Arabidopsis thaliana: one gene and its partner. The protein of the gene in region 2 interacts with the protein of the main gene of each other region in a pairwise test. Each region holds a gene or a part of one and is shown on either strand. Other genes may lie near its edges.

Region 1 (5,775 bases), about 21 Mb from region 2:
AAATAAACTCTTTTGATTCTCTGCTCAATGAGGTTGGAACCATTATTTGAACGCTATGATGAATTCTCTTCTTCCTGTCGTTTTTTCTTTGCAGTTTATCCGAGAGTACTCTGGCAAAGTGGATGAGCTAATAAAGGACAAGCTTGAGGCACAAAAAGAGGTGAAGGCCAAAGAGCAGGAAGAGAAGGATGTCATATCCCAACAGGTACTACTTATGACACAGCTACACTGGATATCATCCGACTCTTTATCTTGACAGATACACTTAAAGGAGTAATATGTTTTTCTTTTGTTTTTAAACAGAACATGTATGCCCAAATGTTGCCACTTGCTTTACCTGCACCACCGATGCCAGGAATGGGAGGTGGTGGTGGGTATGGTCCTCCACCACAAATGGGCGGTATGCCAGGAATGCCTCCCATGCCACCATATGGAATGCCACCGATGGGCGGCTACTAAAGCAGACCAGCTTATGCTTTAATATCCGCATTTGGAAAAGTATCAGTAGCGCATAGAGTCGGCCCAATTTGCTAGGGCGGTGTTCATCTGCTAGCTAGCTTATATGTCTGACCAGAATTTGTCTGGGAATAATGTGGATAATAACCTCCTTTCGTTGTAATATTCTGTTGGGTTTAGGTGAGTAATTTTTTTTTAACTTTTTGTCAAAAGCCATTTTTGAGTATATATACTCAACTCTCTTACTCATATGAGTTTTGTAGTTGTACTTTCCTTCAGCATTTCATTCCATTCGACTTTCGATTTATTAAACCGTTGATCAGTTTCACCTTGTTGTTATTCATATATGAAACAATTAATATCGAGAAGGACTAAATAAATCCTTCATGAGAATTTGGTTGACCTCAGAACAATCATCATCATTCATCAGCATCAGAAAGACATAGATGCAACGTGAATCTCATTTTCATGAAATAATAATGAAATCTTAGGGTAGGTTTATTTCACATGTACACATAAAAACCTAAGTACCAATAGTCATCTGAACATCATGAACTAAAAATTGCATCCCTCCGTAAACACACATTTCTGCTACATTACTAAGAAAACGTTCTGGATAGAAAGATTCAATCAACCCAACATACTTTGTTTTTATTAGTATACTTAGATGACATACAAATTCACTTGGTATTTCTAATATCAAAAGTTCAACCTTCACCAGGATAAAACTCATCCAGCGCAGACACTAACTATAGATAATCAATTAAACCAAAATGATAAGCAGATTGAAGAACTTTAAGGAGAATCAGTAACTCATAAGGATCATTCCATGTAATAAACATAATTCTAATAGAAAACATAGATTCGATTTGGTCCAACAAAACATTCAAATTGAAAATTGCAAAACCAACAAAACTCACATAAGAGTTGGTTCTAAAAAGAAGAAAGACAAAACAAACTCCCGAATCTACTTAGATCGCTGTCTCATCTTTCGTCTCTTCCTCTTCAATCTCCTCATACGCTTCTTCTTCCACTGCAACACACAAACACACAAACCATAAAGATCCTACACACTACTTCAATTTCTCATCACTAAAAAATCCATTAAACAATCAAAACCCATTACTAACCTTGGCTCTCATGCTGATTTCGCAGAAGCTGTCTCCTTCGTTCCTCTGATTATTTGTTTAGCTTTACAGGATGAGGAGCGGCGGAGATGAATAGAAAGATTTTGTAGCTTACGCTCTTATTCCTCCTTTAAACAACAACAAAACCCTAGTAACTAACTTAATGGGCTTTATTATTTCAAAAGCCCAATAAAACCCAAATGGATAAGAATTTGCCAGAGGGGATATTCGCACAGAGAGAGAAAGAAGATCTTTTTCCGACAAGGTTCAAGATCGATTAAACATTACATGGAGGAGATTCACTAGAAAGAAAGGAAAAAAATCTCTTTGTCTTTGCAGATGCGACACGCAAAACGACGATTCTGATCTCGCTTGTCTGATTTCAAAAACAATGAGAAGATAGTTCTGATTATATAACACACAAACCCTACTTCATTCCTTCATCATCGTCTCCAATCATTACCCAAAGATCCGTCTTTTTCTTTACTTCATGTCGAAGCAAACGTACAAAGTGTGTTTCTGCTTTCGCCGGAGGTTTCGTTACACTGCATCGGAGGCACCGCGTGAGATCAAGACCATTTTCGAAAAGTACTCAGAGAATGGAGTTATGACCGTTGATCATCTCCACAGGTTTCTGATCGATGTTCAGAAACAAGATAAAGCCACCAGAGAAGATGCACAGTCAATTATCAATTCTGCATCTTCTCTTCTTCATCGTAATGGTCTCCATCTTGATGCTTTCTTCAAGTACCTCTTTGGTGATAATAACCCTCCTCTTGCTCTCCATAAGGTAATTTTCGTGTTATTTCGATTTTATGAGTTCAGAATCTGAAGTAAACTATGATTGATTGATATAAGAAACTCAGATTTTGGATTGGGATTTTTCGTTTTCCTTGTTTGGTAATTGAGGAAATGGTGTGAGGAAGTGAGATTTTTGGAATAATTTGTTTGAATGTTTCACTGAGTCTAATCAAGAGTTCGAACTTCGAAGCTGCTGTTTGGTAGAAAGTCGTAGGAGCTATGTACTTTTTAGGTGTTGTGGAATAAGTCTGATTCAAGAATTTGAAGCAATAGAATTGTTTTTCTTTTTATGTCTCAAAAAAAAAAAAAAAGTTGAGAAAGTAACATATCTAGGAATGTGACATTTACTCTATTAGGAACTCTGACACAAAAATCCATGATACAAGTAATTAATATTTTTACAATTCCGGCTATACATGTAATTGTGACTCAATTGTGCTAGCTTTTATTTTCAGATTGATTATAGACTTATCTCTAATGAATTTGTGGTGTTTCAGGTGCATCATGACATGGATGCTCCTATATCGCATTATTTCATATTCACTGGTCATAATTCTTATCTGACTGGTAATCAGCTGAGCAGTGACTGTAGTGAGGTACCTATTATTGATGCGTTGAAGAAAGGTGTTAGAGTCATTGAATTGGATATATGGCCCAATTCCAACAAAGACGATATTGATGTTCTTCACGGAATGTATAATTTTGCTTCAAATTTATTTCGAAAAACAAGTCAAGGTTAGGTGCTTGGCGTTTAACTTGTTTACTGAACCATTCTTAAACAGGACTCTCACTACACCTGTGGGGTTGATCAAATGTCTCAAAGCTATCAGAGCACATGCCTTTGATGTATCTGACTATCCTGTTGTTGTAACTCTTGAAGATCATCTTACTCCAGATCTTCAGTCTAAAGTTGCTGAGGTAGCTTTTTATTTTGCATTTCTTTCTTTGCTGCTTTAATAGATGAGTACATTGGTTTTGAGATGTGTTTTCTTGTTGTATGATAGATGGTTACTGAGATATTTGGGGAAATTCTGTTTACTCCTCCTGTGGGAGAATCTTTGAAGGAGTTCCCATCGCCAAACTCTTTAAAAAGACGTATTATCATCTCAACCAAACCCCCAAAAGAGTACAAGGAAGGAAAAGATGTGGAAGTGGTGCAGAAAGGTAAAGACTTGGGGGATGAAGAAGTTTGGGGAAGAGAAGTTCCGAGCTTTATTCAGAGGAACAAAAGTGAAGCTAAGGTGTGTACGAAGACAAATCATTTTCATTCTGTTCTGTTGCTGTTCATGGACAAACATGTTAGTTTTCTTTCTTGTTGCAGGATGACTTAGATGGAAATGATGATGATGACGATGATGATGATGAAGACAAGTCTAAGATTAATGCACCACCCCAGTATAAACATTTGATTGCAATCCATGCTGGGAAACCAAAAGGCGGAATTACTGAGTGTTTAAAGGTAGATCCTGACAAGGTTAGACGCCTTAGCTTAAGCGAAGAACAACTTGAAAAGGCAGCAGAAAAATATGCGAAGCAGATTGTGAGGTATAGTCATATTATGTTTTTATGTTTCTAAGTAATAGTTGCAGTTTGTCAACTCAATATGAATCCTGTTAATCATGGTGTGGCGCAGGTTTACTCAGCACAATTTGCTGAGGATATACCCAAAAGGAACTAGAGTCACATCATCAAATTACAACCCGTTGGTTGGCTGGAGCCACGGTGCTCAAATGGTGGCTTTCAATATGCAGGTATCTCCTTCTGCTATATTACCAACTTCTTTCTACGTAGTAGTAAAACTTCTAGTTATTTTGGAGGAGCTATGTTCCATCATTTTACAGGACATCAACCTTATTCCTCAGCTGATTTGATTGTGATCTTTTTCCATGTACAGGGGTATGGAAGATCATTGTGGCTAATGCAGGGAATGTTTAGAGCCAATGGCGGATGTGGCTACATCAAGAAACCTGACCTTCTGCTGAAAAGTGGTTCGGATAGTGACATATTTGACCCAAAAGCTACTCTACCTGTGAAAACAACACTTAGGGTGAGATATCTGATTCTCTGGTTGGTCTTTCTTTTACCAATTCAAATCCGATCAAACTCAGTGAACTTATTCTTTCCCTTAGGTAACTGTATACATGGGAGAAGGCTGGTACTTTGATTTCCGCCACACACACTTTGACCAATATTCACCGCCTGACTTCTATACAAGGGTCAATTTTTGATTCCCTGCCTTAAACCTCACACAAATGTTTTGAGATAGAACTGTTTCTTGTCTCTTATGCTTGCAATATAACAATTTGAGCTTTTGATGCATATTCAGGTTGGGATAGCTGGAGTTCCAGGGGATACAGTAATGAAGAAGACGAAAACACTGGAGGATAATTGGATACCAGCTTGGGATGAGGTGTTTGAGTTCCCATTAACCGTTCCAGAGCTGGCCCTGCTACGATTAGAAGTGCATGAGTATGACATGTCAGAGAAAGATGATTTTGGAGGACAGACATGCTTACCGGTTTGGGAGCTAAGCGAAGGAATAAGAGCATTTCCTTTACATAGCCGGAAAGGAGAGAAGTACAAATCCGTTAAGCTTCTCGTGAAGGTGGAGTTTGTGTGAGACATGATTAAGAAAGATACAGCATTTAAACTTGTCTGGTAGGTTTGAGTGCCACAGAGTTTGTGAATTTGGAGGATTTGTATGTGTGAGAGAGAATGTATGCTTGATTTGTTGTTTGTAATATTATGTACATAAAAGACGAAAGTGAGAGAGAGAGAGACGGTCTTGTATCGTGTGTTGTTGTATTATTATGTAGTAGTCTCGTGTAACACTTGAATCGTATGATGATTTGTGGTTTTTGTGTAACAAGTGTGTTTTAAAACTTGTTTGATTCCATTCCACCAAGAAGGCTTCAAAGAATTTTCTTATGTATCACATAAAACTGATCGAATTTCCATAAACATAACCAATCACACCCCATAAAACAAAATTGGCCAAAAAGAAAAGAGAAAGGATATTTTAGTAAATGAAAGAGAGAGGTGGTGGTGGAGGTGGAGGAAGCGCGCTCTATCTCAAAAACGTTGGGGTCTGCTTGGTCCTCAACAATTGAAAACCGTACAAATTCAATTTCTTCACATAAAGCTCTCTCTTCCTTCTCCATTCTTCCACCCTTTTTTTTCTTCTCTCCGCACAAATCCCCAAATGTCCGATAGGTATCGTAATCCCCCAACTTCTCGATTCATCAAACTCTTCAATTTTGTGTCTCTTTGATTGGTGATAAAGATTGATTCTTTCGTTTCTGGGGACGATGATTCATTTGATTTCTTTTTTGTAGGATACTGTGCAAGTTCTTTGTCCATGGCTCGTGCTTGAAAGGCGAAAATTGCGAAT
Region 2 (6,392 bases):
AGATCGATTGAAACCAAAGTTATAATAACAGATCGATCAAACTTCTAAAACCCTAAACCCCAAAATAAACATGAAAAAAAGTAGAAGAGAAAGAAGAATGATGAGTCCTCCCTCTGTAATAAGGTCAAAGGAAACAGAAGCAGGAAAGAAGCGATGTCAAGATGCTCGGAGATACCTGCTTACTCTACTTGGCGGATCGAGCCGGAGACGGAGATATGAAACGAGTAGCGGCAGCAATAGTTCTCGAGAGGATATATCAAGTAGAATAATCTAGTCCAGTCGGTTAGTAGTAGTATCGTTATACTAATTATGTTTTGGATCCCCCAAACTTAATTAATTAAATAAATATAGGTGGATGGCCTCAATCAAAAGCCCGATGGGCCTTTGAAGAGAAATTGAAATGATGGAAGATGACGATGATTTCTCGGCGGCTGCGACTACCGTTGTGTTCGACCGTCCGATTCCGCTGCTCCGGGGACCTGTACCCTCCGGTGGTTCTTATGTTCTAGCTTTCCGATCACTGGATTCATGGTCAGCCGCTTTCAAGCGTTGCGAAACCCTAATCAAGGACCAGTGCGAGGAAGGTGCTAAAATTGGGTGCGCCGTCTCCGCCTCCAACAACTGTAAGCCGCCGTGGTGGCGGGGATCTGGTGGTGACATGAGGGAACGAGAGAAGTGCGAAGAGCGGGAATTCGAGGGCTGTGTGGCTGCCGCCAAGGGCAAGTGCGCTGCTTTCGCCAAAGACAAGTGCTCTGGTGCCTTTTTAGATGCGCGAATCGCCAAGGACAAGGAGGTTGAGGGATTGGTGTGGCTAGCTTCAATGCCGGAGGAAAGCAGGTGGAGGGATCTCATGGGGCTTGGTGGTTCACTGCGTCTGCACACCAACAACTGCTGCTGCACAGCCAGGGATCTTCTTCTTAAACCATAGCTCTTAATTTGTTGCATGCTGAGAGCTTTGTTATTACTAGTTACCGTTATGAGTGAGCTTAATTAGTTGTAATCTTCCCTTCTACTTATTCCTGAACCATTGTTTAGTTTCATAAGATGATGGTTAGTCTATTTATTCTCGAGCAAGCCATTGTATTTGTTGGTTGGGATTTTGTTAAGCTTGCTACTGCTTTTGGTGCAAACACTCTTGTTTCTTTCTTATCCACATACAGTAACTCGTGATCTAATGTATGTCACTGAGCATCTCTGTGTATGTATGTATATGATTTGAGGAGTTTCTCGACATTCACTTCATCGCTTGTATCGGAATTTTATGCCAAATCTGGTCTCACCTCACGTCTAGTTTTAGTGGAGGTCAACTTATTTTGTTTGTTTATAAAAATAAAGTCAACTGCTTTTATGTCTTGCTGTCGTCACATGAACAAAGAAAGAGATGACAGCGAAAATGGAAAGTGCTATGAAGTTTCGGTGATCAAACTCATAATGCCTTCGTCGTACACGCTGCTCCATTTTATTATTTCTAAACATAGATTTGTGGAAAAGTAGACGGATTTTGAGTTTGAGTAGTATAAATTTCACTTGATAGATATTATACCAAACCAAGTTGGTGTGGAAGATTCAATCTAAATCCTTTTTTTCTTCTTTCGCTTTACTATATTCGCCATTTCTTTTCATTTGTCCGTGCGGACTAAGCAAGTTGGTACACGCACGCTATTCCTCCTCATTCTACAATGACGGCTTGTCCACACCATTACATCATACGGCTGCTTTAGAAATTACTACCAAAATCTCAGATTAACTCTCTCTTTTAGGGCACAGTGGTTCCAAACCGAAACACGAGACAACAGATAAGTCAAAACACAAGTACAAAAGGATGTGCGGCCCATGTCCTTTGATCGACATGACTTCGTGTTTACAACGTTTCTGAGTGGTTCCACCGCCTGAAAATATTAAACTAGGACAAGTTACTTTACACGAGATATTTAATATTTTAAAGCAGATAAATAGCAATCAAAAGGCGGCCAATACGGATTTAAATAGTACCACGAAGCTTAGGGTATTAGAGAGAGAGAAATCATTCTTTGCGAGTCTTAAGTGTCTTACAAGTAACACCACATTTAGTTGAGAGAGAGCGAGACTCTTTTCCTTCTAAAAACTCTCTTTCTTTCACACAAATAAAGCATGAGGGACCTCAAGGAATATGATTACAGTGCACTTTTGCTCAACCTTACCACCTCCAGCCTCAACAAGGCCCAGAGGCGTTGGCGTTTTGCCTACGCTGCCATCTACTCTATGAGGGCTATGCTCTCTCTTGTTAAGGAGATAGTTCCCGCAAGGATTGATCCCAAAACCTCAGATGCCTCTCTCTCTCTCTCCTACACAGCCCTCGAGTCCGGTGAGGGAGCAAAGATCAACTCTATGCCTCTCTCTTACGTTCCTGCCATTGATCAAGAACAACTTGTGGAGATCATGAAGGGTAAGGACTTACCGGGCATCCAAGCGCTGGGCGGCGTGGAGGGTGTCGCCGCTTCCCTTAGGACTAACCCCACCAAAGGGATCCACGGGAATGAGCAAGAAGTCAGTAGACGCCGTGACCTCTTTGGCTCTAACACCTACCATAAGCCACCGCCTAAAGGACTTCTCTTCTTTGTGTATGAAGCTTTCAAAGACCTAACCATCTTGATCTTGTTGGTCTGCGCTATTTTCTCCCTTGGCTTCGGTATCAAAGAACATGGCATCAAAGAAGGTTGGTATGAAGGCGGAAGCATCTTTGTAGCAGTCTTCTTGGTCATAGTTGTCTCTGCTCTCAGCAACTTTAGGCAGGAGAGACAGTTCGACAAGCTGTCCAAGATAAGCAATAACATCAAAGTGGAAGTCCTTCGGGACAGCAGGCGGCAACATATCTCCATCTTTGACGTTGTTGTTGGTGATGTTGTCTTCTTGAAGATCGGAGATCAGATTCCCGCTGATGGTCTGTTCTTGGAAGGGCATTCACTTCAGGTGGACGAGTCTAGTATGACAGGAGAGAGTGACCATCTTGAAGTGGACCACAAGGATAATCCCTTCTTGTTCTCAGGGACAAAGATAGTCGATGGGTTTGCTCAAATGCTCGTTGTCTCTGTGGGTATGAGTACAACCTGGGGACAGACGATGAGCTCCATAAATCAAGATTCCAGCGAGAGAACACCTTTGCAAGTCCGTCTTGACACGCTGACCTCCACCATCGGAAAAATTGGTCTTACGGTGGCAGCACTTGTTCTGGTAGTTCTATTAGTCCGTTACTTCACTGGGAACACAGAGAAAGAGGGCAAAAGAGAATACAACGGGAGCAAAACACCTGTGGACACTGTGGTCAATTCCGTTGTGCGAATCGTGGCAGCTGCAGTAACCATTGTCGTAGTAGCTATCCCAGAAGGCTTGCCATTGGCTGTGACTCTGACGCTGGCTTACTCCATGAAGAGAATGATGTCTGATCAAGCTATGGTCAGAAAGCTCTCGGCATGCGAGACGATGGGCTCAGCGACAGTGATATGCACAGACAAAACAGGTACTTTAACACTGAACGAGATGAAGGTTACCAAGTTTTGGCTTGGCCAAGAGTCAATCCATGAAGACTCTACCAAAATGATCTCACCAGACGTTCTTGATCTGCTTTACCAAGGCACCGGTCTGAACACAACGGGAAGTGTCTGTGTGTCAGACTCAGGATCAACGCCTGAGTTCTCAGGCAGTCCAACAGAGAAGGCCCTCTTGTCTTGGACTGTGCTAAATCTGGGTATGGATATGGAGTCAGTAAAGCAGAAACATGAAGTTCTCCGCGTTGAAACTTTCAGTTCAGCAAAGAAAAGAAGCGGAGTTTTGGTCCGAAGAAAATCTGACAATACAGTCCATGTACACTGGAAAGGAGCCGCTGAAATGGTCCTAGCTATGTGTTCTCACTACTACACAAGCACTGGGTCTGTTGACTTAATGGACTCCACCGCAAAGAGCAGAATTCAGGCAATAATCCAAGGTATGGCGGCCAGTAGCCTCAGATGCATAGCATTCGCTCATAAAATAGCGTCAAATGACTCGGTATTAGAGGAAGATGGCTTGACCTTGATGGGAATAGTGGGTCTGAAAGATCCTTGTCGACCTGGTGTCTCAAAAGCTGTGGAAACTTGCAAACTTGCAGGAGTCACCATTAAGATGATAACGGGAGATAATGTTTTCACTGCAAAAGCTATCGCTTTTGAATGCGGAATCCTCGACCACAATGACAAAGATGAAGAAGATGCTGTTGTAGAAGGTGTTCAATTCAGAAATTATACGGACGAAGAGAGAATGCAGAAAGTTGATAAGATCCGGGTCATGGCAAGGTCCTCTCCCTCCGACAAGCTTCTAATGGTCAAGTGTCTGAGACTTAAAGGCCATGTGGTAGCCGTCACAGGGGATGGCACCAACGATGCACCTGCACTAAAAGAAGCAGATATTGGACTCTCTATGGGAATTCAGGGCACTGAAGTGGCAAAAGAAAGCTCAGACATTGTAATTCTAGATGATAACTTCGCATCCGTTGCCACAGTCTTAAAATGGGGAAGGTGTGTCTACAACAATATCCAGAAATTCATTCAGTTTCAGCTAACAGTGAACGTTGCAGCTCTTGTGATCAATTTTATCGCAGCAATTTCAGCCGGTGAGGTCCCTTTGACAGCAGTTCAACTGCTGTGGGTAAACCTCATCATGGACACATTGGGAGCTCTGGCTCTCGCCACGGAGCGACCCACTAACGAGCTCCTGAAGAGAAAGCCAGTTGGCCGAACAGAGGCCCTGATAACAAATGTCATGTGGAGGAATCTCCTGGTTCAGTCATTATATCAAATAGCCGTACTCTTGATCTTACAATTCAAGGGTATGTCAATATTCAGTGTTCGCAAGGAAGTGAAGGACACGCTCATATTCAACACTTTCGTGCTCTGTCAAGTTTTTAACGAATTCAATGCGAGGGAGATGGAGAAGAAAAATGTGTTCAAAGGCCTTCACAGAAACAGGTTGTTCATTGGAATAATAGCGATAACTATTGTGCTTCAAGTCATTATGGTGGAATTCCTAAAGAAGTTTGCGGATACAGTAAGGCTTAACGGGTGGCAATGGGGAACTTGCATAGCACTTGCATCCCTTTCATGGCCGATCGGCTTTTTCACAAAATTCATACCTGTTTCTGAGACACCATTCCTCAGTTACTTTAAGAATCCAAGATCCTTATTTAAGGGTTCAAGAAGCCCATCTCTCAAGAAACCTTGAGAAGCCTACCATAGCAGATGCAGTTCTCTACGGATGGCTGGATAATTGATGATCAGGAGCACAGAGTGGGACTCGTCTGATAAGATAACTTCCAGCTCCCTTGAACGATCAAAAGGGTCAAATCTGAAACCTTGATGGTTCCCCACCAAGAGATGCTTCTGCTTCTGATCAAAAGAGTCGTGGAACACGAGGTTATGTTCACTGGCTTCAAAGTTCTTTCAAACTGCTGCAACAAGTTGGCTTTTCAGTTCACGTCTATGGAAACATAACACGACACTACTAAATTGGTTCAAAATGTTATGTTGATGGCTTAGGAAAATAAAGGAAAAAGAATTGTGAATTTGAGCTTTGGGGTAGCCATTGGTGAATAGTAAAGTGTAATTTTGGTTTATTTACTTACAGCAGTGTCAAGGGTAAATTACACTGTCTGTACATTTTAAAGCTACGTCGTCTGTACATTTTAAACTAAGTATGTATGCTAGAAGTACACTGTCTTGAAATAAGGGTTATAGTAGTTCGTTTTGGTCAAACTTGTGAAAGGTATACTTTGTCTTGTAATTGAGTGAGAGACACCATTTTGGTATTAAACTGTTTTCCTTTTTATTAAAACGTTTGGCTTTGCACAGTCTAAGTTCTTTGAAACACTAAAACATGATGCACCTATGATAGATCTAGAGCGCAAAAACATGAGAAAAATAAAGTGGAGAGTGTGTCAAAGCAGGGAGAAAACAGAGAGCCTTACACCGGTTTCGTGTAGTCAACTGTGTGCGTTCGGGACTCTTATTTTTCTTTCAATCGGCATGTGGAATGCTTCATCAATGAATGGTCCTAAACCAGGAAGGAGTGAGGCTGTCAGAGCATGACCTAGCTTGGGTTTAAGCAATATGTTTCCACATTCATCTCTTAACCAAAGATAGATCATGCTGGCAGCTTCACTTGTTCCCTTGTGGACTTGTCTTCAAAATACCTGAGCAACAAGTTGTGCAAATCTCACATATTTGACGGATCAATAATTGTAAAAAACGGAAGCTCAAGAAGTGGAGAAATTGCAACAGACGTGAAGGCAATGAAAGAGAATACAGAAAGGAGATGAGAGAAGACAGAGGTGATGCTTTGTGGTTTAAGAGGCGCTATAGATACTTATAGAAAGAGATGAGAGA

Evidence for each region.
Region 1: the proteins of AT3G63380 (region 2) and PLC2 interact in a protein complementation assay, tested with the Arabidopsis thaliana proteins (one large-scale study listed by BioGRID).

What each region holds. Positions count from the first base shown.
Region 1 is NC_003074.8:2,581,855-2,587,629, reverse strand, and holds PLC2 (phospholipase C 2), read left to right. Parts: upstream 1-1,731; 5' UTR 1,732-2,073; coding exon 2,074-2,373; intron 2,374-2,881; coding exon 2,882-3,078; intron 3,079-3,166; coding exon 3,167-3,302; intron 3,303-3,388; coding exon 3,389-3,625; intron 3,626-3,705; coding exon 3,706-3,929; intron 3,930-4,017; coding exon 4,018-4,135; intron 4,136-4,278; coding exon 4,279-4,431; intron 4,432-4,513; coding exon 4,514-4,600; intron 4,601-4,710; coding exon 4,711-5,004; 3' UTR 5,005-5,268; downstream 5,269-5,775. Other genes in the region: AT3G08530 (Clathrin, heavy chain), read left to right, coding at 95-205, 304-459; AT3G08520 (Ribosomal protein L41 family), read right to left, coding at 1,424-1,489, 1,587-1,598; AT3G08505 (zinc finger (CCCH-type/C3HC4-type RING finger) family protein), read left to right, coding at 5,587-5,597, 5,720-5,775. UniProt on the Arabidopsis thaliana protein: The production of the second messenger molecules diacylglycerol (DAG) and inositol 1,4,5-trisphosphate (IP3) is mediated by activated phosphatidylinositol-specific phospholipase C enzymes.
Region 2 is NC_003074.8:23,405,952-23,412,343, reverse strand, and holds AT3G63380 (ATPase E1-E2 type family protein / haloacid dehalogenase-like hydrolase family protein), read left to right. Parts: upstream 1-1,983; 5' UTR 1,984-2,130; coding exon 2,131-5,232; 3' UTR 5,233-5,860; downstream 5,861-6,392. Other genes in the region: AT3G63390 (uncharacterized protein), read left to right, coding at 401-928. UniProt on the Arabidopsis thaliana protein: This magnesium-dependent enzyme catalyzes the hydrolysis of ATP coupled with the translocation of calcium from the cytosol out of the cell or into organelles.